Macaca mulatta: one gene and its partners. The protein of the gene in region 1 purifies or fractionates together with the protein of each later gene. This does not show direct contact. Links are inferred from orthologs where the notes say so. Each region holds a gene or a part of one and is shown in the gene's direction. Other genes may lie near its edges. The genes, in order: NCK1, WASL, TNIK, PDGFRB, ABI1, ARHGEF7 and GIT2.

Region 1 (4,076 bases):
ACAGCACAGGCTAACCACATGCATGCATTACCAATCAAATAATTTGAAGTTAAATGCAGAAAACTGCAAACTTTTGAGGCTTATAGCCAGGGCCAGGATTAAAATAAATATTAATGCCTTCAACAGTATTTACTGACCATCTACCCTACTACAAGGCCCTAGGGAGAAACTGAACAGACATGGTTCCTGATTCAGTGGAGTTTACTATCTAGGTAGGGATACAGGCAAACCATTTCAATAGCTCGGATGGAGAAAATACCTATGCTCCAAAGAAGGTACCTAACTCAGCAAACTTCCCTGAGGAGCGACTCTAAACTGAGCCACAAAGATGGTTAAGAAATGAGGCGGCTGAGCGTGGTGGCTCACGCCTGTAATCCCAGCACTTTGGGAGGCCAAGGCTGGCGGATCACGAGGACAAGAGATCGAGACCATCCTGGCCAACATGGTGAAACCCCGTCTCTACTAAAAAAAAAAAAAAAAAAAGATGGGCGTGGTGGTACACACCTGTAGTCCCAGCTACTCGGGAGGCTGAGGCAGGAGAATCTCGAACCCGGAGGCGCGACAGAGCGAAACTCGTCTCAAAAAAAAAGAAATGAGGCAGGTACCGGCGAGGGGAAGAACCAACTTACTGATACCTCAGCCAGTGGCTGGAGCCCTAAGAATGGGCAGACCTGGCTCCGAAGGTGGTCTTCATAACACTACTGCCGCCAAGAATGTAATGTAAGTAAGCTGCCCAAGCACAAGGACACTTTTAGCGGGCCCTCAGCTTCTTTTGGTCTGTGCCTCAAATTAAGCACGTCTTACATTTCTCCCAGGTCCCAATTTTCAGGTCTGCTTTTCTTTGTCTTTCTTTGTCGCTCCCCGCTCCTAAGAACCTTTCGCTGGGAAGACATTCCTCAAGTGCAGAAACCGGGGGAAGCTCCCAGAAGAGTGGGCGCTGAACCCAGGACACAGTCATTCTTGCTGTGGAGTCTCTCCTGCGGCGCTGAGAAGGAAGGCTCGAAGTAACCAGCCAGAGCAATCGCACAGGGAAAAGCGAAGACGGTTCTGGTCGGGCCCGGCGCTTCTCACCCTCTAGCTCGCTTCGCTCCTTGGCGCAGCCTCCGCTCCCTTCACACCACGCACGGCGCTTGATTGACATGTGGGCCCGCCCAATCCCAGTGTGGCACAGACCGCTGTCGCATCAGGGACCGGGAAAGGGGGCGACTGAACCTATCAGATTGGGCCGAGAGTGGGTTTCCTGCCCGCGCGGATCCGCCTGCCCACCGCGCGTGCCCCGCCCCTCTCCGAGAGCTACGCGTCGGCGGCAGAGCGCAGGCCTCGTGCCGTTACGGCCATCACGGCGGCCGCGGTGGCGTCCTGGAGCCCTCCTCAGGTGAGCTGGAGCTGCCCAGCTCGGCAGCAGGAAGGTGAGACGGCCTTGCTAGCAGGCAGACACACCCCCACCCCCCTTCAGTCGGCTGTCCATCCACACAGCCTGTTAGCCGCTGCGTTGCTTCCTCTTCCCGGCTGAGTTAGCCCCGGGGGCGCCGTCTGCAGGCTCGGAGCTGAGCCGGAGGGGGCGCGGAGGCTGCTCAGAGGGTCCGAACTTCTGCACCGGGATTCCGCGAGGCCCTCGGGCCGTTGCCCCGGGGAGCGCGACCCTGCGGCCTCCTTGTCAGCCCCTGGAGCGCTGCGTCGGAGTGAGAGCCCGGGCGGCCGCCCCTGCGAGGCTGGGAGGTCGAGTGTGGGGCGCGCTGGCTGACTTGTCTGTTTTCTCCTGAAAAAGACCTTTTGCCAGCTGTGGCGTAATCCGAGGCCGGGAAGGTAGGACGTGGTAGGAGGAAGGGCGCTCTCACCTCCAGCGCGAGAAGAGGGGAGGCGGCAGCCTGCGCGGTGCTGCGGGTGGACATCTTCGGGACGCGCCCTCGCCCCTCCCCCCACCCGCCTGACGTTTTCTAGTCCGGGGCTGTGACTTTAATCGTCTGGACCTGCTTCAGATTCGTACGCGAGTTGCTGGGGCTGTGAACTTTTGACTTGAGTTGTAATATGTTTGGTTAAAAAAAAACCATTTCGATAGGTTTTGTAACCTTTCTTCTATATTAACATGCAAGTTAAATTCGCCGTTAGAAGCTCAGGAAGCTGAGTTTTGTTCAGGGAGGACGTAGAAACCGTAGAAAGGCTCTCGGAGTCAAACTGATGAACTTGGAGTCACCTGATCATAATTATACACGTTAGATTAGGTAAGAAGCCCTAGAAATTAGGAAAGAATGAGGTTAAGGAGAATTTCCTAACCCTTCTTTGGGTGGGGAGCAAAGCAGCTCAATGTCCCTCCAAAACAAGTAAGTGTTGCTAAGAGGTACTCATTTTTAAAATCTTACTTTGTTAGACTTATGACAAACCATCTATAACGATTTCTTGAGCACCTGGAAACCAGTGTGCCTAAACTCTCAGCCTTCAGCGAGGTCACACAGTAAACGGAGAAATAACCTAGGAAGAAAGTTTTGTTCGGTAATTGTCAATAATATTCGTTCTTTTCTTTTTAAAACACTTTATTTTCTTGTGGGAGTGAAGTCAGTGATGTTCTTCAATAGGCATCCCATTCACAACTTGATAGTAATGTGCACTGGTTGATAAATGGTACTGTCTTTTCAATTTGACCACAAACTCTGAGACTTCTTTGGGAAAATTGTGATCTGTGGGAATTGTCTTTAATATCCATAACGATAGTTTGCAGAGTGTTCAGATCTACTCAGCTGTTGGCTCATGTATTACATTTTAAAATGTGTGCTTATTTTTCCAGGCATTATCTTTTGTCCAGATTTCTGCAGTGCCTTCAGGTCCAACTGAATAAAATTTGAAACCTACATGTAATGTTGGCGGGGCGCGGTGGCTCACGCCTGTAATCCCAGCACTTTGGGAGGCCGAGGCGGGCGGATCACGAGGTCAGGAGATCGAGACCAGCCTGGCCAATATGGTAAAACTCCGTCTCTACTAAAAATACAAAAATTAGCCGGGCGTGGTGGCACGCGCCTGTAATCCCAGTTGCTTGGTAGTCTGAGGCAGGAGAATTGCATGAACCCGGGAGTCGGAGGTTGCAGTGAGCCAGGATCGCCACTGTACTCCAGCCTGGCAACAGAGCAAGACTCCATCTCAAAAAAAAAAAAAAAAAAAAAATTTACGTGTAATGTTTTGTTAGATACTGAAGGAGACCCAGGCAGGGTAGTTCAAGCCTGTAATCCCAGCACTTTGGGAGGCCAGGATGGGAGGATAGCTGGAGGCCAGGAGTTTGAGATCAGCCTAGGCAATATAGTGAAACTCTGTCTCTAAATTAAGAAAATTAAAAAAAAAAAAAGGAAAATAATAAAAGAGATATTAAGTGATACTTCATGGTTCTGGGTTTTTTTCTTTACTGTTTTTTTTTTTTTTTGAGACAGAGTCTCACTCTGTTGCCCAGGCTGGAGTGCAGTGGCACGATCTTGGCTCACTGCAACCTCTGCCTCCCAGGTTCAAGTGATTCTTGTGCCTCAGCCTCCCTAGTAGCTGGGACTACAGTGTGTGCCACCATGCCCAGCTAATTTTTGTGTATGTATATATATATATTTTTTTCTTTTTTTGTTGAGACGGAGTCTCGCCCTGTCACCCAGGCTGGAGTGCAGTGGCACGATCTTGGCTCATTCCAACCTCTGCCTGCCGGGTTCAAGCAATTCTCTGTCTCATCCTCCCCTGTAGCTGGGATTACAAGCACCCGCCACCACACCCGGCTACTTTTTGTATTTTTAGTAGAGGCAGGGTTTCATCATCTTGACCAGGTTGGTCTTGAACTCCTGACATTATGATCCACCCGCCTCGGCCTCCCAAAGTGCTGGGATTACAGGCATGAGCCACCGCGCCGGGCCTGTACTTTTAGTAGAGACGGAGTTTCACCATGTTGACCAGGCTGGTGTCGAACTCCTGACCTCAAGTGATTCACCTGCCTCGGCCTCCCAAAGTGCTGGAATTACAAGTGTGAGCCACTGCACCCGGCCTATATTCATTTTTCAAAATTCTTCTAGAGTTTTACCTTTTCATTGTTTTGTACTTTTACTTTGTCTTAC
Region 2 (3,500 bases), on another chromosome or scaffold:
GTACTATTCAGGAGAGGGTTTGTTATCTGAATATAAACATAGATTTAGAAATGTATTGTTGGCTTATACATTAAGATGGAAAGGAAATATTTTTGAATAATATCTTTAAGGCAGCAGTTTGTTTCTTGTTAATTTAATTAATCTTGTCCTGGACTTGCCAGTTTAATATCTTTTTTGTCTTTTACGATAATAAGTCATTCTAAGAAAGTAGGACTTTCTGGAGACAAAGATTCTTTGCTAAAGATTTATTACTGAGTTTTGCTAACTTTCTTTTCCAAGGTGTCTGATGGCCCAGAGTCTACACCACCAACACCTGCACCCACTTCAGGAATTGTGGGTGCATTAATGGAAGTGATGCAGAAAAGGAGCAAAGCCATTCATTCTTCAGGTAGAGAGAGAGAGAGAGAGTGAGACAGAGTGTGTGTGTGTTTAATAAATTTGAATGACATTCTGTTATTTTTATTTTATGACTGTCTTTGCTAGCTTTCTCTCTGCTAATTGAGTAACTACTGATATGGGCTCTAGGGTGTATTTTAAAAAGTTGTTGCCTCTGTGACTAGTCTGAGACTTACCAATGCAACACCACCACAGCCATAGCCATAAATTGAAAGAACAGCTTTGGGAATATTGACCGTTTTGTTTCCTATATCAGGAAATGCTGATAGACTTCCTAGCAAACAACCTCTAAACAAAGCTTGAGCTTTTTGGATCTTATTACTGTGACATAAAAGATTCAGGGCTGGGTGCAGTGACTCATGCCTGTAATCCCAGCAGTTTGGGAGGCCGAGACGGGTGGATCACCTGAGGTTGGGAGTTCAAGACCAGCCCAGCCAACATGGAGAAATTCCGTCTCTACTAAAAATACAAAAAAATTAGCCGGCGTGGTGGCACATGCCTGTAATTCCAGCTACTCGGGAGTCTGAGGCAGGAGAATCACTTGAACCCAGGAGGTGGAGGTCACGATGAGCCAGGATCGCACCATTGCACTCCAGCCTGGGCAACAAGAGCAAAACTTCGTCTCAAAAAAAAAAAATTAATTAAATATTAATAAAAATAATAATAAATCAGGCTATTTACCTCATCTGTGAGGATTAGGACTAAGAATTTTAAGTAATTTTTACTGTTTCTAGAGTTTGCTAAAGAATACTGACCTTTTTTAAACCTTTATCATTTTCTAAAAGGTTGATTTGAATAAACCAGTACCTATTCTGAGGTTATTGTTAAACATATACATACCACCATATAAATGAATATTGCTTTAAAGAAAGGACAAGAATATGAGTTTTGCTGATTGGAGTGGTTAAGGTTTGCTAAATAGCTTCTCTAACATAATGTGCTAGAAACAGACCTTTCTTCTTCTTAGATTTATTTAATCTCTGAGCCTCAGTTTCTTGTTTGTTACATTCAGAGAATTCACAAAGCATATAGATGTGAGAATTAAACAGTATATCACTAATCAGCAGATTGCCTAGCACATGGTAGGTGCTCAATAAATGTTATCTTCCTTTTGTTTCTCTGTAAGGATGTGCATGTCTTAAGATCCTTGAGCAATGTTTATTTTCCTTAAATAGGCATATTTGTTCCATTACAGAGATAGAGATAAATATTTATTGTGGAATAGTAATAAAATTTTGACAAAACAACAGAAGTCCCTTCCTTCATCGACATGCATTAGGTCTAATGAGAGAGAGAGAGACAAGCAGTAAACAAACTAGAAAAATGTATAGTATGTTAAATGGTGACATGAACTAAGGACAAAAGTCTAACAGAAAAGAGAAATAGGGAGCAGGCTGTTGAGAGAGAGAGAGAGGTTCATTTTGAAATGATAAAGAATGATAAGGGACGATAAAGCCTAACTGAGGTGACATTTAAGAAAAGACCAGCAGTTCAGGAAGTGAACCATGTAGAAAACTAGGGAAAGTGTATCCGATGGAAAGAACAGAAAATATAAAGTCTGTTAGGTTGAGAAACAATGAGGAGATCAGGGAGCTTGCAAGAGAGGGAGGGAAAGAATAGTAAGGAATGAAATACAAGAAGTCATTGGAGACCCCTTGAAGTACACTAGCTTTTATTCTGAATGTGATGGGAAGCCATTGGAGGGTTTTTAGCAGAGGTATAGTAATGATCCAAGCAAGAGATCATGGAGACTTGAACCAGGTTTATAGCACCAATGAGAAGTGGTTAAATATTAGTTATATTTTGAATGTGGAGATCACTGGGTTTGCTGATGGTTTGAAAATGAAAGTTGAAGAAAAATAAGAGTGCAAGATAACTCCAAGGTTTTTGACTTGAACAACTGGAAAGGGGAAAGACTTAGGAAGAAAAAGTTTGAAAGGGAAGATTAGGAGTTTGGTTTTACATATTAAATTTGAGATACCTGTTAATTCAACTATAGATCTGGAGTAGGCATTTGGTTATGAGTCTGGAAGTCACAGGAGAGGTCTGAATTGTTAAATTACACGTCAGTAGGATATACGTAGACACATGGTATTTAAAGTTAAGGTTATATCTATGGTATAGTCTTCTTTAGCAAACTCTAAAAACAGTGAAAATTGCCTAAATTCTTAGCCCTAATCCTCACAGATGAGGTAAACTGCCTGAATTTTTTATGTCATAGAATGTCACAGGAATGAGATTAAAAATCTCAAGCTTTTGTTTCGAGGTTGTTTGCTAGGAAGAGATAAAGAAAGGTCTTCATTCATTCATAAGAAATGTAAGGCTTCTGTGAGATACATGATTCTGAAAATGCATTTATTCTATGCTGGTATCTGTGAGTTCTGCTAATTATTTCCCTACAATACGTTTTGTTTTTTTTTTTTAATAATATATAATAGTCATGCTAATATAATGAAAATATAGGATGGTTTTTACTTATTTTCAGACCCATTTCTTTTAACCATTAGTATTTCTGTGGTAGTACCTTATGATGGAATTATTGGCTACATCTTCCTCTTCACCATAGATACTGATAAGTTTCTGTCTTTTGTCACTCTGTAATGCCAGCATAGTTGGGTGTCTTTGATGCTTTTCATCCAGATAAATTTTGTGAAGCATGTCTAGCATAAGCTAGTAGCAAATTATTTCCCTTGCTAGAAAGTAAACACAAAAATTAACATGAAGTCAGTTGAACTCCTTTCCAAATAAATTCTGTAACAATTTAGAGCTGACCATCAGACTTAAATAAATAAATAATTATTATTGTTGTAAAAGTAACAACTTAGTTTAGGGCTAAGAGAAAATAACGTTGCCTCTCTCAGGCTTCTGTTATTCAAGTTCTAATACTACAACTCCAGTACTACTTCAAATACTACCTTCACACAATCAATTTTATATGGAGAAAAATAGAAGAAAAAGATGGTTCTGTGTTCTGTACATGTAACCCACACATATGTCACACAGTCTTACTGGCTCTTTATCATTACCAAGTACATTACTCAGCTACTGTCTCACTTTATATACTTGGCCTTCATGGGTCCTGTATGTATAGATATATAAATGTA
Region 3 (3,500 bases), about 43 Mb from region 1:
TGGTTTTATTGTTTCAAAAGTAAAGACTAAGTTAAACTTAGTCTCTAAATCTTTTAATCCTCATAAATTTTTCTGGATGAAGTCCCTAAAATGCAGGTGATGCTTATATGTCCCCAGTGCTAACTTATGGAAATGACCTAGTTTCTCTGCATTCTTCTATTTTGATTGTGTTTTCATTTTTTACCTTGTCTAAGTTTGTACCCACCATGGTTGGATTGGTCACTCATGAGATTTGCCAGGAGTGGGATGGGGATATGCTAGTCCTGTTGACCCCAGCTCATGAAGCTGACACCCGAATACCAGGAGGACCAGTACTTACAGGCACCCAGATGTGTTCAGAGCCGCATAACCTATCCATAGCCCAAGTAAACTTACCTTCTGCTTTCTCTCACACTCCCTGTCTCTCTCAGCTTATGTCTGTCTACTTCTTTGTGTCTCATTGGCTGTTACTTTTTCTCCCCACCTTTATGACTGTTATCTCCCTTTGGTTCCTTATTCATTCTTTTCTGCCACATTCACCATGGAGGGCAAAACCTTAGAACACTATGTAGGCCCACTTCAGAGCTGAATCACTTCTACCTTGTTCCCTAGTGCAGATGGCTTATTTGTGATGTGCTCAGGAAAATAGATTCATTAATGGAAATGGGCTCCCCTCCATAACCTCACTTTTATGGAAAAAAAAAAATTGGAATGCACTAGGTTACTAATAACAATTAAGGGATAACTCCTAAAAGCCAAAGTGTCCTGTTCTGCCAAAATCTGTCTCCACAAAAGCTTTTCAATCAACATCCCATTCCCATTCTTGCTCTGAAGTTACTGCCATCATTTTATGACCCAGAGCACATGAGAGAGTGCAAAATGTTCTTTCTGACAGACCAGATCCAGCCCAGAGAGAGGGAAAAGCAAAGGCAAAGACTTGAACAGGGAAGAGTGGAACTGGCAAGAGGCAAAGCCTTCCCATAGGACAAGGACAGGAGGCTTGAGCTTCCTGTGCTGTCAGAATGGTGTTAGCAAAAGATGAGAAGAGAAGGGTCTGAGAGGTAGCAGTGGCATTATAGCTAAGGCAATCGTAGTTTCACAAATGCTCTCCCAGATCTCAAGGCCCAAAGGTAGAGTGTGGTTAAAAAATAGCAAAGGAAAATGGCAGAGGAACACTTGACAGTTAGGTGGGGCTTGGGCTCTGGATTCAAACACAGAGAACTTTCACAAACTTGACAAGACCTCTCTTTTTGCTTTCTAGTTAAACCCAAATAGTCAATGCAAGCCATCAATCTTGTGATGTTCCACTCTCACCTCTTTCTCTACCACCCAAACCCAAGTCTCAGATTCCAACATTAAGAGAAAGTGCCAATCTTATGCCCACTCATTCGCTGAAGAAATTCCAAACCAGAGCATGCCCATTAACACTGAACAGGCTGAGAAAACAGCCGGCCTTGGCTGTCCCTCCCAGGCTGTCTTTGAAAGGGTAATTGCTATGGATGGGCCTCACTGCCACATGGGAAAGAGAGGGGCCAGAGAGGTAACTGGGCCTTCTTCCGAGGACAAAGGCCAGAAATAAACAGGAAAAAACAGCAGCACCCAGGCACCAGGTCTTTAATATACATTACCACTATCAAAATTTACACCTGTGCACCAGCTTAAACTTCATTGACCTGGAGGACAAAGGGTAGGGAAAGGGGCAAAAATGGATGCTAGACCCTTCCTCCTACAGCCAGAATATCAACAGACCTAAAACTGAAAGAGAAATTTTCTAGCTTTTCACTTTAATAAAGTTAGGAGTTAACTTCCTCTAGACAGTGGCTAAAGGAAAAAAATTATTAAGATACCTCTTTGAGTGATGCGGATACTGATGGGGTGATTTTTAAAGTCTTTTGCAGATCTCCAGCACAAGCCTCTGCTAGTTGATCTCACGGTAGAAGAAGGTCAAAGATTAAAGGTTATTTTTGGTTCACACACTGGTTTCCATGTAATTGATGTTGATTCAGGAAACTCTTATGATATCTACATACCATCTCATGTAAGTACCCAGAAGTAGACTTCCAAGGAATCTGTGTACAACAGCCTGCATGTAGAAAGAGATTTGTTTTGCACAGTTTTAGTAGAAGTCATGCAAACTTTACTAACCAGCAGACGGACTTTCGTTCTTCATTAAGTATACTGCTTTTAATAACTAAAATACATAAATTTAATTTACATGACTTCCTAAAACTGGAGAATACATAATAGAGATCATTTGGCATTTACATGTTGTCTCATTGGACTTTAGATTAAAATGAATATGATATTTTTCTTTCAAGAGCATGAATTATATTCGGTAGACGAGTTTCCACATTCAGTTTTTGAAGGGAAATTGGTTCATTTTATGTTAGAGAAAGCCAATGGTCAGGTACTAATTTATTGGAGAAAATTCTTTTTTTTTGCTATCTTTAGTTCCTTACTTCAGCTTGAGGGCAGCGTGGTATAGTGGAGTCAGACACAGGGGCACTCATACTCTGGCTCTAGCATGTATTAGCTTTGCAATAATGGACACAGTAGGCAGCCTCTCCAATCCTCAGCTTTCACATCTGTAAAATATGATAAAAAGACTTATCCCATAGGATTATCATTAGTATTAAATGAGGTAATGGATCTAAAGCAGTTGGTACAGGGTCCTGCAAATTATATATCTTACTAGCCCTAAAATATTCATATTACTATCCTGACATATTGCTTGAAACATAACTGTTAAAGGGAAATGCTGCACATGGATTCACTTATTAGGATCAGTGTAGTGTAAATTGTGTGTCCTGTGTGTAATTCCAAGGCTAACATACAGGAGAAACTATCAGGAATGTTTGAAGCTACTGCTGACTGGTATTTTGAGAATTTGAGGACTTTATTCTAATGAAATGCAATAACTAAAAGAAGTTGTTTTAGTATATTACATACACACACACGATTGCCATTCATTGCTGCATTATTACAGCTTTTAACTCATGTGTATGTGGGTGAACACAAGGATTCACAGCTCACATTCCTGGTGAGGCAGCTAAGGCATAACTGTGATCATCCTCAACTCTCTTATTCCAATCCATCAAGCACATGTTGGTCAGCCATGGCATTCGCAACTACGGGGATCACAACATCACATTTCCTTTCCTAGAACAAATTAATATACACTGATTTCAGTAGTGATTTTTTTTTTTATTTTTTGAGACAGAGTCTCGCTCTGTCACCCAGGCTGGAGTGCAGTGGCGTGCCTTGGCTCACTGCAAGCTGTGCCTCCTGGGTTCACACCATTCTCCTGCCTCAGCCTCCCAAGTAGCTGGGACTATAGGCACCTGCCACCACGCCTGGCTTATTTTTTGTATTTTTAGTAGAGATGGGGTTTCACTGTGTTAGCCAGGATGGTCTCGATCTCCTGATGTCGTGATCTGCCCATCTTGGCCTCCCAAAGTGCTGGGATTACAGGCATGAGCCACTGTGCGCAGCAATAGTGATTTTTTTAAATGACTGGTAAT
Region 4 (3,500 bases), on another chromosome or scaffold:
TACACCCTCCCTACAGCATCCACACTGCCTGCCTGTCCCCTCCCCACAGCTTGAATCTGCCTTTTTGCTGTGCGACTGGGGCATGCTTCTGTCCTTCTCTGGGCCTCTGCTGCCCATTCAAAAAGCATCCCCCCTAGCTCAGAGTCTCTAAGCTACCCCCAGCCCCAGGCCCAGCAGGAGGGATTCTGAAGGGGAGAGGATAGAGTACCACATGGGAGCAGGGTCGGGGGCTGCATGCCATGAAGGCCCAGCCCACATGGCCAGCCCAGACTTCCAGAGCCAGGCCAGCCCCGCTGCAGTGACCTCCCTTCTCCTGGCCAGCCGGCCAAATTCCTCCTTTAGAATAATAAACAGTGTGGCCAGCCAGGGAGACTGGGAGAGGAGGGGCAGGGAGGCTGAAGTGACCCCCTCCCCCAGCCTCGGCTGCTAATGATTTTCTTTGGCTGAGATCTCTAGCAGGAAGGGGGCAGCCAGAGGGGCACCGATGGAGGGGCAGATGGGCCTCTGTGGGGGCTGCTGGCTCCGCCTTGGCGCTGCTCCCTCCTGACCAAGGAGGCCTAGCATCCAGCTGGAGGGGCTGGGGCAGAGGGATGGTGGGGAGCAGAGGCTGGAGGGGGCGTCAGAAGGGCTGGGCTTCGAGTCAGGAGCAGATCAGAGAGGGGAGAGGAAGAAATGAGGAGACCTTCAGGCAGGCAGTCCGAAAGGGAGCGGGGAGGAGAAGAGCTGATTTGCTCAGACTGTTTCATGGGGTGTTGGGCAGAGCTAAGGTTGGGGCTCCATAGGCTGGGGGAGCCTTGCCTCTGTCCCACCCCTGACATGTGAATGCCGCCCTGGTAGGTACGGCACTCACCATCATCCACTTCCAGAGCTGGGGACTTAGGCCACAGGGAGAGTGATGGTACAAGAGGTGGCGTGCTGGGGCCTGAACCCGGTCCGCAGCCCTAAACTGAAAACTAAAAGGGATGAGATGGGGAGGCGGGGGCAAGCTGGGCATGGCCTTCAGAGGCAGGATAGGCCGGGCAGCCCCACGGCCAGAGGAGGCTCCTTGTTGCCTCGTCACGTCATCACCTCCCAAAGCTCATGCTCTGCGACCCCCCATCCTCTGGCCTCCTTCCTGCCAATGCTACAGGCAGACTTTGGCATACCTGGCTCCTGGTGGTCTCTTGGGACCCGAGGTGTGTCTTCCAAGATAGAGGAGAGCAAGGGCTGCCCCCATTCAGTCTGTCTCTGTCTTTGTCTCTTAGTGCCTCTGTCTTAGTGTTTCTCTTAGTGCTTCTGTCTCTTAGTGCCTCTGGTGCTGTCTCTCTGGACACCTCTTCTCTGTCTCTGTGTCTTTGTCTCTTTCTGCTTCTGTCATTTCAGGTCTTTCTCTGTCTCCCTCTCAGACAGGCTCTGCTGTGGAATCTTGGGCAAATTTCTCACCTTCTCAGAGCCTCAGTTTCTCCATCTGCACCCTGAGAGTAGAGGTGGGGAGCCTGGCTTCACTGGTCTCCAAGGACCTATGAGGCCCGGCTGCTCGAGGGTACCTCTCCTGGGCCCAGCCCCTAGCCACTCTCCCCTGGGCCTCCCTATATGCTCTGAGCTGAGTAAAGGGGTCCAGGCCCACCTCCCACATTCCACAGCCCCGGCTCCCCCGCTTCCCTTCCCACAGCCCACAGCCTCCTCCGTTTCCTGTTGTGCTTGTGGAGCTGCGGGAGTTCTCTGGGTTCTGGCCTCCCCCCTCCTCCTCCCAGGCCTTTCATCACACTTTCCCAAATATTTGTCCTGGCAGATAAGAGCCTGGTATTGGAACTGTCACCCGGAGGACAGGCTGTCAGAGCTGGCAGGCCGCTGGACACCATCCAGCCCAACTTCCCCTCCCTCACTGTACAGAGGGGGAAACTAAGGCTCAGAGAGAGGCTGGGGATGCAGCCGGGGCCACATGAGAGTCACAACCAGAGCCAAAGCAAGGGCCAGGCCCCCTAAGGCTGAATCTGGGGTGGAGAGGAGAGGGTCTGTGGTCTTGAGTGCCCTTTCAGGCTTGGAACGTGGTGGCTTTTGACTTCAGCCCCTCGGACATGAAGGCTGGGTGGCCCAAGCTGGGGCTCATTCTGCAGGAGCCAGGTGGTGAGATAGCTCCTGGCGCTGCCTCCATCTGCCCTGGGCCAGGTGTTAAACTCCTCTTTAACTCTGCAGGACACCATGCGGCTTCCGGGTGCGATGCCAGCTCTGGCCCTCAAAGGTAGGTAGATGGGAGATAAGGTAGGGGAGCTGGGGGGGGCTGCGGAGTGGAACCCTGGAGCTGGCAGGGGTGACGTGTGCTGGTGGCAGGGCGTGAAGCACCAGGCACACTGCCCTGCTCTTCGGCTTTAGTTTCCGGGATTTCCAGTGGGCTCTGTGGAGGCCTCCAGCTGCCAGCCCTTCAGTTCAGAAAGCGTCAGTGGCCCCTGCTTGTCCAGAACCATCAACTCACATCCTTTGATTGGTCCTCCAGACCCCATCCTACCTTCTGGCACACACCCCTGGCCTCCTGGCCTCGGTCTGGTAGATCCGCGGCACCCGGCTTGGACCCCTCATTAGCTGGGAGCTTCCAAGTCCCTGCTGGGCTTCTCAGCACACCCCACCCCTCAGTCCTGTCCATTAACATGTCTTCGGCTCTGCAGGGGCTGAGTGGCTGACCCAGAAATTAATGACCAGCCAGCAGCCTGCCCGGCAGCTGGCTGTCAGATGGACTGGCTGCCTGACTGCCCACCTCCCCTCCTGATCTTTATCACCAGGGGGCATGGAGGGTGTGGCCTGCAAAATCCTTGTTCAGGGGATGTCATGGTGGGAAACCAATCACTTGACACACGCATACCCCCAAACCCAGGCCCCTCCAGCCCAGAGGGGCCTCAGCATCTTTCCTGCCCCCACTCTGAGCTACCTGAGCCCCTCCCTCCCATCCCTCTCCCACCCAGAGGCACCTCTGGGCCTTGGGCAGAACCTGGGCAGTCGGGGGAGGGGGCGGGGAGCTGTAGGGAGGAGGCTCAGAAAGTGACCTGGGAAGCAATGCAGGAACTAGAGGCCAGGGAATTGCTTCCCGAGGATTTCCTGGCCCCTTCTGGTGCCTACTGCCTACACACAGCACTGCTGAAGGATTTAGAGGCTGGGGTCTAAAGGGACTGACATAGGCAGTCTGGAGGAATCCCTGGGGCCCTGAAGCTGGGTGAGTGATCCTCAGAGCCGTGGCTGGAGAGCCCCAGTCTGTCAGATAAAGGAGCTGTGCTCCTCAAGGACTTGAGGGCTGTGCATATGTGGCCTCCTCACAGGCTCAGCCCTGCGAGAGGTGCTGAGGCCCCTGTGCCCTGATGTCTGATACCTCCTCTCCCAAAGGCCAGCTGCTGTTGCTGCCCCTGCTGTTACTGCTGGAACCGCAGGTCTCTCAGGGCCTGGTCATCACACCCCCGGGGCCAGAGCTTATCCTCAATGTCTCCAGCACCTTTGTTCTGACCTGCTCGGGTTCAGCTCCCGTGGTGTGGGAG
Region 5 (3,500 bases), on another chromosome or scaffold:
TATTAGAACAGGGATCAGCACACGTTTTCTATAAAGGGCCAGATTGTCAATATTTTAGGATTTGTGGGCCATATGGTTTCTGTTGCAATTACTCAGATCTGTCATTATAGCACAAAAGCAGCCATTGACAATACGTAAATGAATGTGGCTATGTTCCAGTAAAACTTTATTTATAGCACTGACATTCTAATTTCATATAATTTTAATGTGCTACAAAATATTATTCCTCTTTTGATTTTTTTAACTATTAAAAAATGTAAAAGACATTCTTAACTCACAGGTAGTAAAAATCGGGCAATGGACCAGTTTTAGCCCACAGGCTGTAATTTGCCAACCCCTTGTTGGAAAAAAGACAGTAATTGAAGAGGAGCATAATAAGAGGATAAATACTCATATGTCTATGATGCAGTGATGGCACAAAACTAAGTGTTGATCACCTGGCTTGAGGGAGTTAGGGAGGTCTTCACATCTAAGCTGTGTCTGTTATATAAATGGCTTTTTTCTTTTTCTTCCATTAGCATATGATAATCTAATTATAGAATGATCATATTGCAGAAGAAAATAAAAATCTTATCCAGGCATTGCAAATCTTTGCCCTTTAAATTTCTGGGCTCATTGAGCAAATCATGTAGATTTTAAAACATAATAGGGAGCGTAAGGATACATGTACACAAATATATGTTTTTACACATGTACACACATTACTATAAACAACTAGATGGCATAAGATCTAGTTGTTTGTGCCATACCTTACAAGAAGTAAGGCTTGTGCCATACCTTACTAGAAACAACTAGAGAGAGCCACGTCCTACAGCTAACAGGACAGTACATCCACAGGAAGTAGAATAGTAGTGAGGAGTTGATTAGAGTTTATCAGTAGCAACTATTCTAGAATGACCACACTGAAACTTCACTATTGTCTTTCTTTGTCATTATGCTTATTTTCCAGAAAATGTTTGTGTTATCACCTTTCTTTGAGATGAGAGGAAGTTTTCATATTAATTTTAGACTAGAATGGATTACCCTTTTAATTTACTTCCACATTATTTGTACTTTCTCTTTTGTTGTATCTGTTACATTACCTTTTCATGTCAGTTTTCCCATTATGAGCTTCAGACAGTGTGGTTCATCACTGCATTGCTCACTGCTCTTCATAGCAGGTTTTGAATAAACACTTGTTGACTCATTGTACTGTAAGATTTTGTTGGTGATAAATATTTCAGCAGAGATGGTTTTAAGTACTGTGTTATCATTATATTGGTTCCAGATAGGTTGAGAAGTAGAGGAAACCATTTCAAATATTAGGATTAAGGTTTGTGATGAATAGTTAAAAAAATTCTTGTTACACGCACACACATGCACACACACACACACACACCCCCTCCCATTCCCTTCCTCCCTCCCTCTCCCCTCTCTCCCTCCATCTCTCCTTCCCTTCCTCCCTCCCTCCTTCCCTTCCCCGCTTCTTCTCTCCCTCCCTCCCTTCCTTCCTCAGGTTCTGCGTTCCCAGAGTCAGCCCGTCTCAGGTTGAAAATACAGTATTCATGGGATGCAGACCCCGTGGATACAGAAGACCGACTTTTCATATCCGCTGGTTCTCTAGGGCCAGCCGCAGGACTTGAACATCCATGGGTTTTGGTATCCAAGGGGGTTCTTGAAAACAATCCTCCAAGAATACTGAGGGGTGACTATATGACATAAAAGGAGTATTCAGTGGCCTTGGGTGATTACAGTTTTTTTTTTAATATGTCTCTAGAATTGGTTTTTCACAATTTTTTTTTTCTTTTCAGTGGAAGTAGCGGAGGAAGTGGAAGTCGAGAAAACAGTGGTAGCAGTAGTATTGGCATTCCCATTGCTGTGCCTACACCTTCGCCACCCACTATTGGACCAGGTGTGTTATTTATTAATCTGTGTTTAATACGTGATAATATTTATGAGCTTTATTGTGGAAGGCTGAAATAAATTAGTCACATTGAGTAAAATTATTAATTAAATTTGTGATTGTTGCTAGAATAAAGGCTGATAACAAATTTAACAATGTTTTTAGATTGTTTTTCACAAAGTCTATAGGATTTCGCCAGCTGTTTCTCCTTATATATACTGTATATTAAGTAGTTTTGTTAAATAACTTTTTGTTAGCCATTTTGCTTTAGAAATGTATTCATTCCTCAGTGTCCATAGGGGATTGGTTCCAAGGTCCCCTGCAGATACCAAAATGCATGGATGCTCACGTCCTTTCTATAAACTGGTGTAGTATTTGCATATAACCTACACACATCCTCTCATATTGTTTAAATCATCCCTAGATTACTTATAATACCTAATACAATATAAGTGTTACTTAAATAGTTATATTGTATTGTTTAGGGAATAGTGACAAGAAAAATAAGTCTGCACATGTTCAGTACAGATGTAGCCATCCCCTTTTTTCCCCGAAATATTTTTGATCTATTATTGATTGAATCCAGGGACGAAGAACCCCATGGATATGGAGGGCTGACTGTATTTGCCTAGCATACTAGTCAAGAATGACATTTATTATTTCAAGAGCAAACCAGTATTGTATGATACTCCAGCTGGAGAATCAGTGTCTATAAAGGTGAATTATGTTTCTAGGAGTTTTAATGTTGCCTTGCAGGCCAGTATCTGCTCTGGTGGTTGCTTATTTTGTGACTTTACTACATTTATCTGTGATATTCAATATATATTTCAATAAAATGCAATACATGTAAAATAAGATTAAGATAGGAAAGTTATTTTACTTTCAGAAAGTATGAAAATTTCAAAAATCCTTGGAGGGCATTAAATTAGCCTCTTGATTTTTAGTAAATGAAATGGAGACTTTTTATATTGTTAAAATGTATATTTTAAAAATATGATAATGAAAAATGTTAGAAAAAAATTCTTAGCTTTTCAAGCATATTTTTGAAAAAGGAGAAAAAGCCACTTATAAACATAGGCATATTTGATAGTTAAGGCAGGTATAAATTTGGTAGCCTCTTTACCTACAAAATTCATACTCATTTGAGCATGCTTTACATGTGGGTATCTTTTTTCTTTTTATTTCCAATATATTGTACTTTCTTGCTGTTTCAAAATGTTGAGTTTTCTTTTCTTGTACTCTGACCTGAATTATAAACTATTTTATTAGAAAACATTTCTGTCCCTCCTCCTTCTGGAGCTCCACCAGCACCACCTCTGGCACCACTTCTCCCAGTGAGCACTGTGATAGGTGAGATTGCATAGCCATTGCAGCCATTGAACTCACTTTACATAATTCATAATAAACTCCTCTGTGCTAGTAGAGTGCTAGCATTTATAGTTATTAGGTTGCAGGTGATAATACAAAGATTAAAGTATTAAATCTAATATCACTAACTTCTGGTGAAAGGCTTCTGCACTTACACAGTAAACAAATATAAAACAACTTTTTCTATAATATGAAATGCTTGGTTTATAACCAACTTAATGTGTTTTTTATTTGTTGTTTGTTTAGATTT
Region 6 (3,500 bases), on another chromosome or scaffold:
TGTGGGTGAAGAGCTGGACCCCTCAGAATCCTGCCCGTGTCCTCTGCCACAGCTGTGGGAACTGAGGACAAAGGTGACGCACGTGAGGACCCACTGTAGGGAAAGCCAGGCGAGGCACCGTGAAGGGAATGGTGAAAGAGGAACACAGGAAGATCTAAAATTTTCTAACTCCTTAATTTTGGGATATGCACTCAGTTTCTTTGTCCACACGCAGGGACCCTTCCGTCCTTACGTGTTGTGAGGATTGAGTGTAACAAAGCTTTTGAAGTTCTGAAGCATAAATCAGCGTTCGCTGTCCGCACGCAGGGACCCCTTCCGTCCTTACGTGTTGTGAGGATTGAATGTAACAAAGCTTTTGAAGTTCTAAAGCATAAATCAGCATTCGCTGTCTGCACGCAGGGACCCCTTCCTTCCTCATGTGTTGTGAGGATTAAACGTAACAAAGCTTTTGAAGTTCTGAAGCGTAAATCAACGTTTGCTCTCTTCTCTTGCTGCTTCTCCCACTCCTCACCCCGAGAGCCATTGTTTACTCCCAGGCTGAGTGCTGGCAGCACCTAGGTGGGGCCTGCTTGCTGGACGAACTCACCTCTGGGAATGACGGCCATTGGCGTGCTCTAGCTCTTTACCGGAGCAGCTGAGTCCTTGTTCTTACCACCTTGAGACTGAGATTACTGGACTCCATTCTGGCTCTGAGCGTGCACGTTTCCATTGGACATGTCTGCATGGCACTGATGTGCCAGAGGGCCTCGGCGTCAGTAGGATCTCATGGAGACCCACACATCCTGTGCTGTGTGTAGTTACTCTTGCTCATATGAGAGCAGGAATGGGACCCCTCAGGGGTGGGAATCCCCTTTGGCATTTCCAGATAAGCAGCGCAGATTTGGGATCAAAGCTGGAGCCTTCCAGATGTTAAAAGCAACACTCATGTTTCATAAATTCTGGCTGTTGCTCGTGGAGATCAGAGAGCCACCATTGCCTCTCATTGCTAACCACAAGTGTCTCCCTTGCCACTTGCTGCCCAGTGAGGAGTTGGGGGAGTTCATGGAGACCAAAGGTGCCAGCAGCCCTGGAATTCTCGTGCTGACCACGGGCCTGAGCAAACCCTTCATGCGCCTGGATAAATACCCTACGCTGCTCAAAGAGCTCGAGAGACACATGGAGGTACCGCACTTTCACTCTCTTACTCGGAGTCCTTACCAAGGGTTAGTGGCATGGTCAGACTTTAACTGTGAAAGAAAGTATTATTCATGATTTATTTTAGAAGCCAGAACCAACAGAGTTTACAAAGAATTTTTACTTAGTGGATTGTCAAAATGATTTTGTTAAATATTATGTTTTTCTCCTTACTCCAGCTCTATTAAAAAACATTTACCACTTATCTCTCTTTTACCCACTGCTGCTGGTTGAAAAGTTTCCAAAAGCTGAAACATGAGAACTGATTTTCAGATAATGTTGAGATGTCTTATCTGGATCATCAGCTACAAACAATGTGTGCATAAGTTATAGGGTAATACTGTACTAATCATTTAATGAATGATTATGCTCTTTTAATTTTGAATAACAGGTTGCATCCTAGCAGAAATTTGGGTTAAAGTTACTCTCTTGGCTTGAGTTGGCAAACCTTTTCTGTAAGGGGGCAGACTGTAGGGTCTTCTTCACAGCTCCACGGCTCTGCCGTTCTAGATACTGCATGTGAGCCGCGGCAGTGTTCCAATAAGACTTTATTGATGAAGCAAGTGTTGGCTTCCCCACCCCTGCTGCTCGTGACTGTTCTCTTTCAACGTATGTTTCCCCCAAGTCTGATGGCTTCATGATTTTCTGAAAGACTGACACTTTAATGCTGAGGGAAAAAGGGAATATTAAGGGTTGAAAAGTATTAGAAAAGTTTCAAGCTGGTCTGTAGAAAGTACCTTTTTAAGAAAAGCTTTTCCTTACGAAAGCTAATTGTATGTTTCTTTTACTCAAAGGATTATCATACAGATAGACAAGATATTCAAAAATCTATGGCTGCCTTCAAAAACCTTTCAGTAAGTGATTAAGCATATTGTTTTTTCCCCCCAGGCATCATTGTGACAAATGAATGTAAAAGAATTATCAACTGAAAAAGTCAAATGATTAAAAAATGACTTGTGCTGACATGAAAGAAAAACAGAGTCGGCATTCTATGGCTGGTAAACTCCTTTTAGCGGACTCTGATAGAATAATTACTTAAAATTTTTAAAATCGCAGTGTAATTGATGTTAGATCTACTTTAAAATTATTTCAAACATTTTTTTACCCTTCATTCGTGTTGTCTTTAATGATTTATTGCAAAACAGAACAATGGTGGTTCCATTTTCTCTGCTGTTGTGTTGTCTTACCAACTGCATTTTCGAAATATATGCCTTATTTTATAGCACAAGTTATGCTTTGTTTCTTCTCTTCAGTCTTCTATATTGGCAAACACTAACAAAACCAGAATGAAAATACAGTTTTGTTCTGTCCACCTTTCTTTTTTGTACAAGTGGCAAAATCTGCTATATTTTTCTAAGATAATACTTAGTATTCCAGAGCAGTTGTGTGCGTTGCTTCTTTTGACTTGATTTCATACTTTCAAGCAAATACTTTCAATTCCGTATAATTAAGTAAATCATTCAACAGATTATCTGTCTGAAGAAGTAAGATATAAAGCAATAATTGTCTTAAGGACGATGCAAAGCAATGTGGCCAGAACTTAAGATTTTGGAAGTTTCTGTCTGTTAACAGTGTTGTTCTGTGTCTCTCAGGCCCAATGTCAAGAAGTCCGGAAAAGAAAAGAACTTGAGCTGCAGATCCTGACGGAATCCATCCGGAACTGGGAGGGCGATGACATTAAAACTCTGGGCAACGTCACTTACATGTCCCAGGTCCTGATCCAGTGTGCTGGAAGCGAGGTACTGCTGCCCACATGTATGCATCAGGGTTTCTGTCCCACTCTTAGGAGCTCGTAACAGAAGATGTTAAAGGCATCTCAGGCAATGAAAAACGTCTAATAGAAGCTCTATCTTATAATTTGTGAGCTACTTTTTATTCTTGACACAGGAGAGAGGCTTATGGTCTGTTAGAGAGGCTTAGAGCTGAGTGTGGACTTGTTGACCAGTTTGTTCCAGCTGAAGTCAGTCTGGCCTGAAACCCACGTGAACTGAAGGATAGCATGCGGAAAGACTTGCCAGGAGTCCCATGCACACATCTGCACGGAGCTGTATGCGCTTATCTGGCCAGCAACTTTGTACCAAGGCTTGCTGTCACAGGGACCTGCCGCTCTCAGTGCTTTCAGGTCATTATACTTTCCTGTGAAAGTATGCTAGCTGACATATGCTTACAGGAGTCACAGTTTTCTTACGGGTTTGGTTTAAGTGAGAGATCAACTCAGATTTTTGGGACATACCCACCCACACAGTGAAAATCGAGCAGTTTGTTTCATGATTCACATTGACATACATTCAGTGGGTCACTAAACAGGCACCTCTTTTTGAATTTTA
Region 7 (3,960 bases), on another chromosome or scaffold:
ATCTTTTTTTTTTTTTTTTTTTTTTGAGACAGAATGGAGTGCAATGGCATCATCTCAGCTCACTGCAACCTCCACCCCCTGGGTTCAAGCTCCTGCCTCCGCCTCCCAAGTAGCTGGGATTACAGGCACCTGCCACTGTGCCTGGCTAATTTTTGTATTTTTAGTAGAGACGGGGTTTCACCATCTCGGCCAGGCTGGTCTTGAACTTCTGACCTCGTGATCCACCCGCCTCGGCCTCAGAAAGTGCTGGGATTACAGGCGTTTGAGTCACCGTGCCCGGCCAATTTTTGTATTTTTAGTAGAGATGGGGTTTCACTATGTTGCCTAGGCTGGTCTCCAACTCCTGCCTCAAGTGATCCGCCTGCCTCAGCCTTCCAAAGTGTTGAGATTACAAGAGTGAGCCACCGCGCCTAGCCTGGAATCATATAATACACTCTTATTTTACTTTATCTACCTCAGTAAAATGCAAGCTTCATAAGGACTAGGAATTCAGTCTTTGCTCACTGCTGTTTCTCCAGTGGCTGGGACATTGTATAAAACATGGTAAGTACTCGATAAATATTTGTTGTTTTTTTTTTTTTTTTGAGGCGGAGTCTCGCTCTGTCGCCCAGGCTGGAGTGCAGTGGCCGGATCTCAGCTCACTGCAAGCTCCGCCTCCCGGATTTACGCCATTCTCCTGCCTCAGCCTCCTGAGTAGCTGGGACTACAGGCGCCCGCCACCTCGCCCGGCTAGTTTTTTGTATTTTTTAGTAGAGACGGGGTTTCACTGTGTTAGCCAGGATGGTCTCGATCTCCTGACCTCGTGATCCGCCCGTCTCGGCCTCCCAAAGTGCTGGGATTACAGGCTTGAGCCACCGCGCCCGGCCGATAAATATTTGTTGAATAAAGGAATGAATCAATGAACTTGACCATTGATTGCCTCAGGAAGGTTGTGGCTGCAGGGTTCTCATCACAAGATATTGCTGCTTCCCCTGGTATTAATCAGTTGGGACGAGGGGAATCTCTGCCAGAGAGGGAGATCCAAATTCAATATTTAAAGGTAGGACAGATGATGCTCCAGCAGTCTCCTGCCCTCACTCAAGATGGCGACAAGGCAGCGTGCCCTTTCCGGTCACATGACCTGACACTCGCAGAAGGGCGCCTCCCCGCGCTTGCGTGCTATGCCAAGGCTGCAAGGCACTGAGGGGAGAGGCGCCGCCGTCAGCGCCGCTGCCGCTGGGACCCGTTAGAGCGGAAGCGCCGCCGCCGCCGCCTTTGCTGTCCCCGGGCCTCTACTTCCCGGCAGGTGGGAGGCGGGAGCCATGTCGAAACGGCTCCGGAGCAGCGAGGTGTGCGCTGACTGCAGCGGGCCGGGTGAGTCGCACCGGCCGGGCCCGCTCCCCTCTGCTTTCCTGGCCCGGACCCCTACCCCGGGGCCGCCCACTCAGGTCAGGCGGCATCCTGCGGTCAAGCGTCCGCAACCCGCTACTAGGGTCTCAACGAAGAGGTCCCGGGGCGGCCTTGGGGCAGGACGTGTCCCAGGCCTGTCAGAGCCTGGCGGGCAGGGGGCCGCCGCCCTCCCAGTACCTCGCGGCCCTCCCTTTCCTCTCGTTCCCTCTAGTTCCCTCCCGTTCCCTCCGTCCCAGGCCAGCTGGGGAGGTGACGGGGGCCAGGGCTGCTCCCCCAACAGGAAGGGGCTTGGGCAATACACAGGAAAGCCAATTACAGAAGTAAAATGCGAGCGTCCTCCCGGCTGCAGCCTCCAGAGGCTGCAGGTGTCACCTCCCACTAGACCCTCTCTCCGCCTGGGTGCCCTGCCCGGGGAGGATGACACTCCCTGAGTCTCGCCAGAGGGTCCCCGTAGATGACTTCTCCGCTCCTGACATCCGACAGCTACTCTGTCGGGGAGAATTGCCAGTAGATCGGGGTCTTCCAGACACAACCAGCACTTAGGAGGCAGTGCGTGTCTCAAGTTTGAGGATCTGAATGGCCTGGGTTCAAACTAGATTTTGCTTCTGGGTGACCTTGGGCTGGTGACTTCACTTGGTCACTTGGCTTGATTTCCTCATTTTTTTCGATGAGGATAATCGGGAGTATCACGCTCAGTGGTGAGGAGGATTCAATGAATACTCGTAGGATCATATCATCTAAGGCTTTTCTTTTTTGCGTTATGCTGTCTACAATAGAACACTTGCAGTCCCTTAAAGCTAGAATTGACTATCTAAATCATACGTTGATTACAACTGAAACAAACGCAAAATCACCAGCAATATAGGGGCATTGAAACGCTAAACCATTCCTTCATAATGATGCATAACTGTTCATACATAATATTCACATTTAGAGATCAAGCGGATCTCAGCAATTGCAACTGAATTGTCAGGTCTCTGGATAGATTATTACATGCTGTTTTAGGTGCTTGGATGTATTGGCTTTGAGTTAATTCGAAGGTAACATGGCTTTCTTGGCACAATAGTGTCCGATAAACAATCTTAATCAAATCATTGAACACCACTGGCTTTGCAACTGTTCTGATCTTCAGCTTGTCATTTGGAAGTGAAGACTGATTGTAAATAGAACTGTGATAACTCAAACCTCATGTGGTGGTTTTAATGGCTGGTACAGTGCAGGTGTTACCAGTTTCCTTTGAAGATAGGGAGGGGGTGTGGAGGAGTTTAAAAAGAAGCGTTTTCTAAACCAAGTTAGTGTGAGTTATACAAACTCAAACTCCATCGTTTTCTCTAAAAATGTTATTTGTTCCACTTCCTTATTTTCTTGCCTGTTTTCAGTCGAACTTTCTGTGATGTGTTTGATTCACATGTGTCCAGCTTCTAACTTCCTCTTGGAATGCATATTGTTTTGCTTCTTGATGGGGTACGGGGCAAAGCAAAATTGTTCCTCCATTGCCATCCTAAATATACTTTTGCAGCATTTTGTGCATTTCAGAACATTTTCTCTTCCATTGTATCGCTTTAGTTGTTGTCTCATACGCCTGATCTGCAGAGACTTGAGTCACTTCCTTCCTGTTTTGAATATAAGTAGGCTACCTTGAAATATTCTGTGAAATTGAGCAGCCTGGAATTTGTGCTGCCTTTTCTGCAAAACCCTACTGAGAGAATTACCTGTAGGGTTAGGGACCCCTTTGAGATTCTGATGAATGCTAAGGCCTTCTCCCCTAAAATGCACGTGAACGAATTTACCTAAGATTTGTCTAGGGGAGTCACGGACATTTTTGAAGTTCATTTGTGGTGTCCCTGGAGCCCAGGCATAAAGCCTCCAGATGAACTTAAAGGGTTTTACCCAATCTCATTCATACAAACTTATTTTTATTTTACCACGTTATCATTCTAATATTCTTTCCATGGGATTCTGATCCAGGATGCTAAAGTGGTTAGTCGAATACTTGTCTTAATTAATATGTGTTAAATACTTGCTAAAAAAAGAATAGTGCAAATCCTCTGAATGATAAGTGAAAACCAAAGGTATGCTTCAAAACAGTCTTTTTTTTTTGGCCATTAGTGACAGTACTATACCGCAGGAAGCAGTGTTGTTATGCATCTTTGTAGAGCTCCTTCATCTGGACATTTCCAATCTCTGCTTTTTAGGATGATATAGTAATAGTGACAGTTATAATAAATTGAATTATTTTGATTCTATTTTATGCAAACATTTAACCATGATCACTTCTTAAATATTCTATTTTTTTGTGTGTTTGTTTGTTTTTTTAATGAATCTGGTTCGTTTCAAATACATCACACTCTGAGTTCAATTACTTGACAACTCCATGGAGATTTTCAATACAGTAGTATAGTGGTCACATGAAATGTTCAATGTTTTAAATATTTCCCATCAAAAACTTTTTCCAGTGATCGTGAATTTCACATCTAGAAAATATCTGTATTACTGAGAAAATAATTTAGAAAAGATATAACAGCTAACGTTACTACTTTACTATGTGTGAGGTACCTCACTGATTCTCTG

The links.
Region 2: the proteins of NCK1 (region 1) and WASL purify together in Homo sapiens (co-immunoprecipitation; 4 studies listed by BioGRID and IntAct, with this or other methods). This does not show direct contact. The link is inferred for Macaca mulatta from reciprocal best matches to the Homo sapiens genes NCK1 and WASL.
Region 3: the proteins of NCK1 (region 1) and TNIK purify together in Homo sapiens (affinity purification with mass spectrometry; 3 studies listed by BioGRID and IntAct, with this or other methods). This does not show direct contact. The link is inferred for Macaca mulatta from reciprocal best matches to the Homo sapiens genes NCK1 and TNIK.
Region 4: the proteins of NCK1 (region 1) and PDGFRB purify together in Homo sapiens (affinity purification with western blotting; 3 studies listed by BioGRID and IntAct, with this or other methods). This does not show direct contact. The link is inferred for Macaca mulatta from reciprocal best matches to the Homo sapiens genes NCK1 and PDGFRB.
Region 5: the proteins of NCK1 (region 1) and ABI1 purify together in Homo sapiens (co-immunoprecipitation; 4 studies listed by BioGRID and IntAct, with this or other methods). This does not show direct contact. The link is inferred for Macaca mulatta from reciprocal best matches to the Homo sapiens genes NCK1 and ABI1.
Region 6: the proteins of NCK1 (region 1) and ARHGEF7 purify together in Homo sapiens (co-immunoprecipitation; 3 studies listed by BioGRID and IntAct, with this or other methods). This does not show direct contact. The link is inferred for Macaca mulatta from reciprocal best matches to the Homo sapiens genes NCK1 and ARHGEF7.
Region 7: the proteins of NCK1 (region 1) and GIT2 purify together in Homo sapiens (co-immunoprecipitation; 3 studies listed by BioGRID and IntAct, with this or other methods). This does not show direct contact. The link is inferred for Macaca mulatta from reciprocal best matches to the Homo sapiens genes NCK1 and GIT2.

Annotation. Positions count from the first base shown.
Region 1 is NC_133407.1:39,868,716-39,872,791, forward strand, and holds the start of NCK1 (SH2/SH3 adapter protein NCK1), read left to right. Parts: upstream 1-1,276; 5' UTR 1,277-1,375; exon of another isoform or gene 1,376-1,806; intron 1,807-2,782; exon of another isoform or gene 2,783-2,956; intron 2,957-4,076. UniProt on the Homo sapiens protein: Adapter protein which associates with tyrosine-phosphorylated growth factor receptors, such as KDR and PDGFRB, or their cellular substrates. Maintains low levels of EIF2S1 phosphorylation by promoting its dephosphorylation by PP1.
Region 2 is NC_133408.1:163,488,482-163,491,981, reverse strand, and holds part of WASL (actin nucleation-promoting factor WASL), read left to right. Parts: intron 1-279; coding exon 280-388; intron 389-3,500. UniProt on the Homo sapiens protein: Regulates actin polymerization by stimulating the actin-nucleating activity of the Arp2/3 complex. Involved in various processes, such as mitosis and cytokinesis, via its role in the regulation of actin polymerization.
Region 3 is NC_133407.1:82,744,236-82,747,735, reverse strand, and holds part of TNIK (TRAF2 and NCK-interacting protein kinase), read left to right. Parts: intron 1-1,867; coding exon 1,868-2,017; intron 2,018-3,500. UniProt on the Homo sapiens protein: Serine/threonine kinase that acts as an essential activator of the Wnt signaling pathway. Recruited to promoters of Wnt target genes and required to activate their expression. May act by phosphorylating TCF4/TCF7L2.
Region 4 is NC_133411.1:159,105,459-159,108,958, reverse strand, and holds part of PDGFRB (platelet-derived growth factor receptor beta), read left to right. Parts: intron 1-2,175; 5' UTR 2,176-2,181; coding exon 2,182-2,221; intron 2,222-3,351; coding exon 3,352-3,500. UniProt on the Homo sapiens protein: Tyrosine-protein kinase that acts as a cell-surface receptor for homodimeric PDGFB and PDGFD and for heterodimers formed by PDGFA and PDGFB, and plays an essential role in the regulation of embryonic development, cell proliferation, survival, differentiation, chemotaxis and migration.
Region 5 is NC_133414.1:28,130,678-28,134,177, reverse strand, and holds part of ABI1 (abl interactor 1), read left to right. Parts: intron 1-1,790; coding exon 1,791-1,891; intron 1,892-3,151; coding exon 3,152-3,232; intron 3,233-3,500. UniProt on the Homo sapiens protein: May act in negative regulation of cell growth and transformation by interacting with nonreceptor tyrosine kinases ABL1 and/or ABL2. May play a role in regulation of EGF-induced Erk pathway activation. Involved in cytoskeletal reorganization and EGFR signaling.
Region 6 is NC_133422.1:105,627,477-105,630,976, forward strand, and holds part of ARHGEF7 (rho guanine nucleotide exchange factor 7), read left to right. Parts: intron 1-1,022; coding exon 1,023-1,161; intron 1,162-1,967; coding exon 1,968-2,027; intron 2,028-2,765; coding exon 2,766-2,912; intron 2,913-3,500. UniProt on the Homo sapiens protein: Acts as a RAC1 guanine nucleotide exchange factor (GEF) and can induce membrane ruffling. Functions in cell migration, attachment and cell spreading. Promotes targeting of RAC1 to focal adhesions. May function as a positive regulator of apoptosis.
Region 7 is NC_133416.1:117,161,295-117,165,254, reverse strand, and holds the start of GIT2 (ARF GTPase-activating protein GIT2), read left to right. Parts: upstream 1-1,160; 5' UTR 1,161-1,301; coding exon 1,302-1,353; intron 1,354-3,960. UniProt on the Homo sapiens protein: GTPase-activating protein for ADP ribosylation factor family members, including ARF1.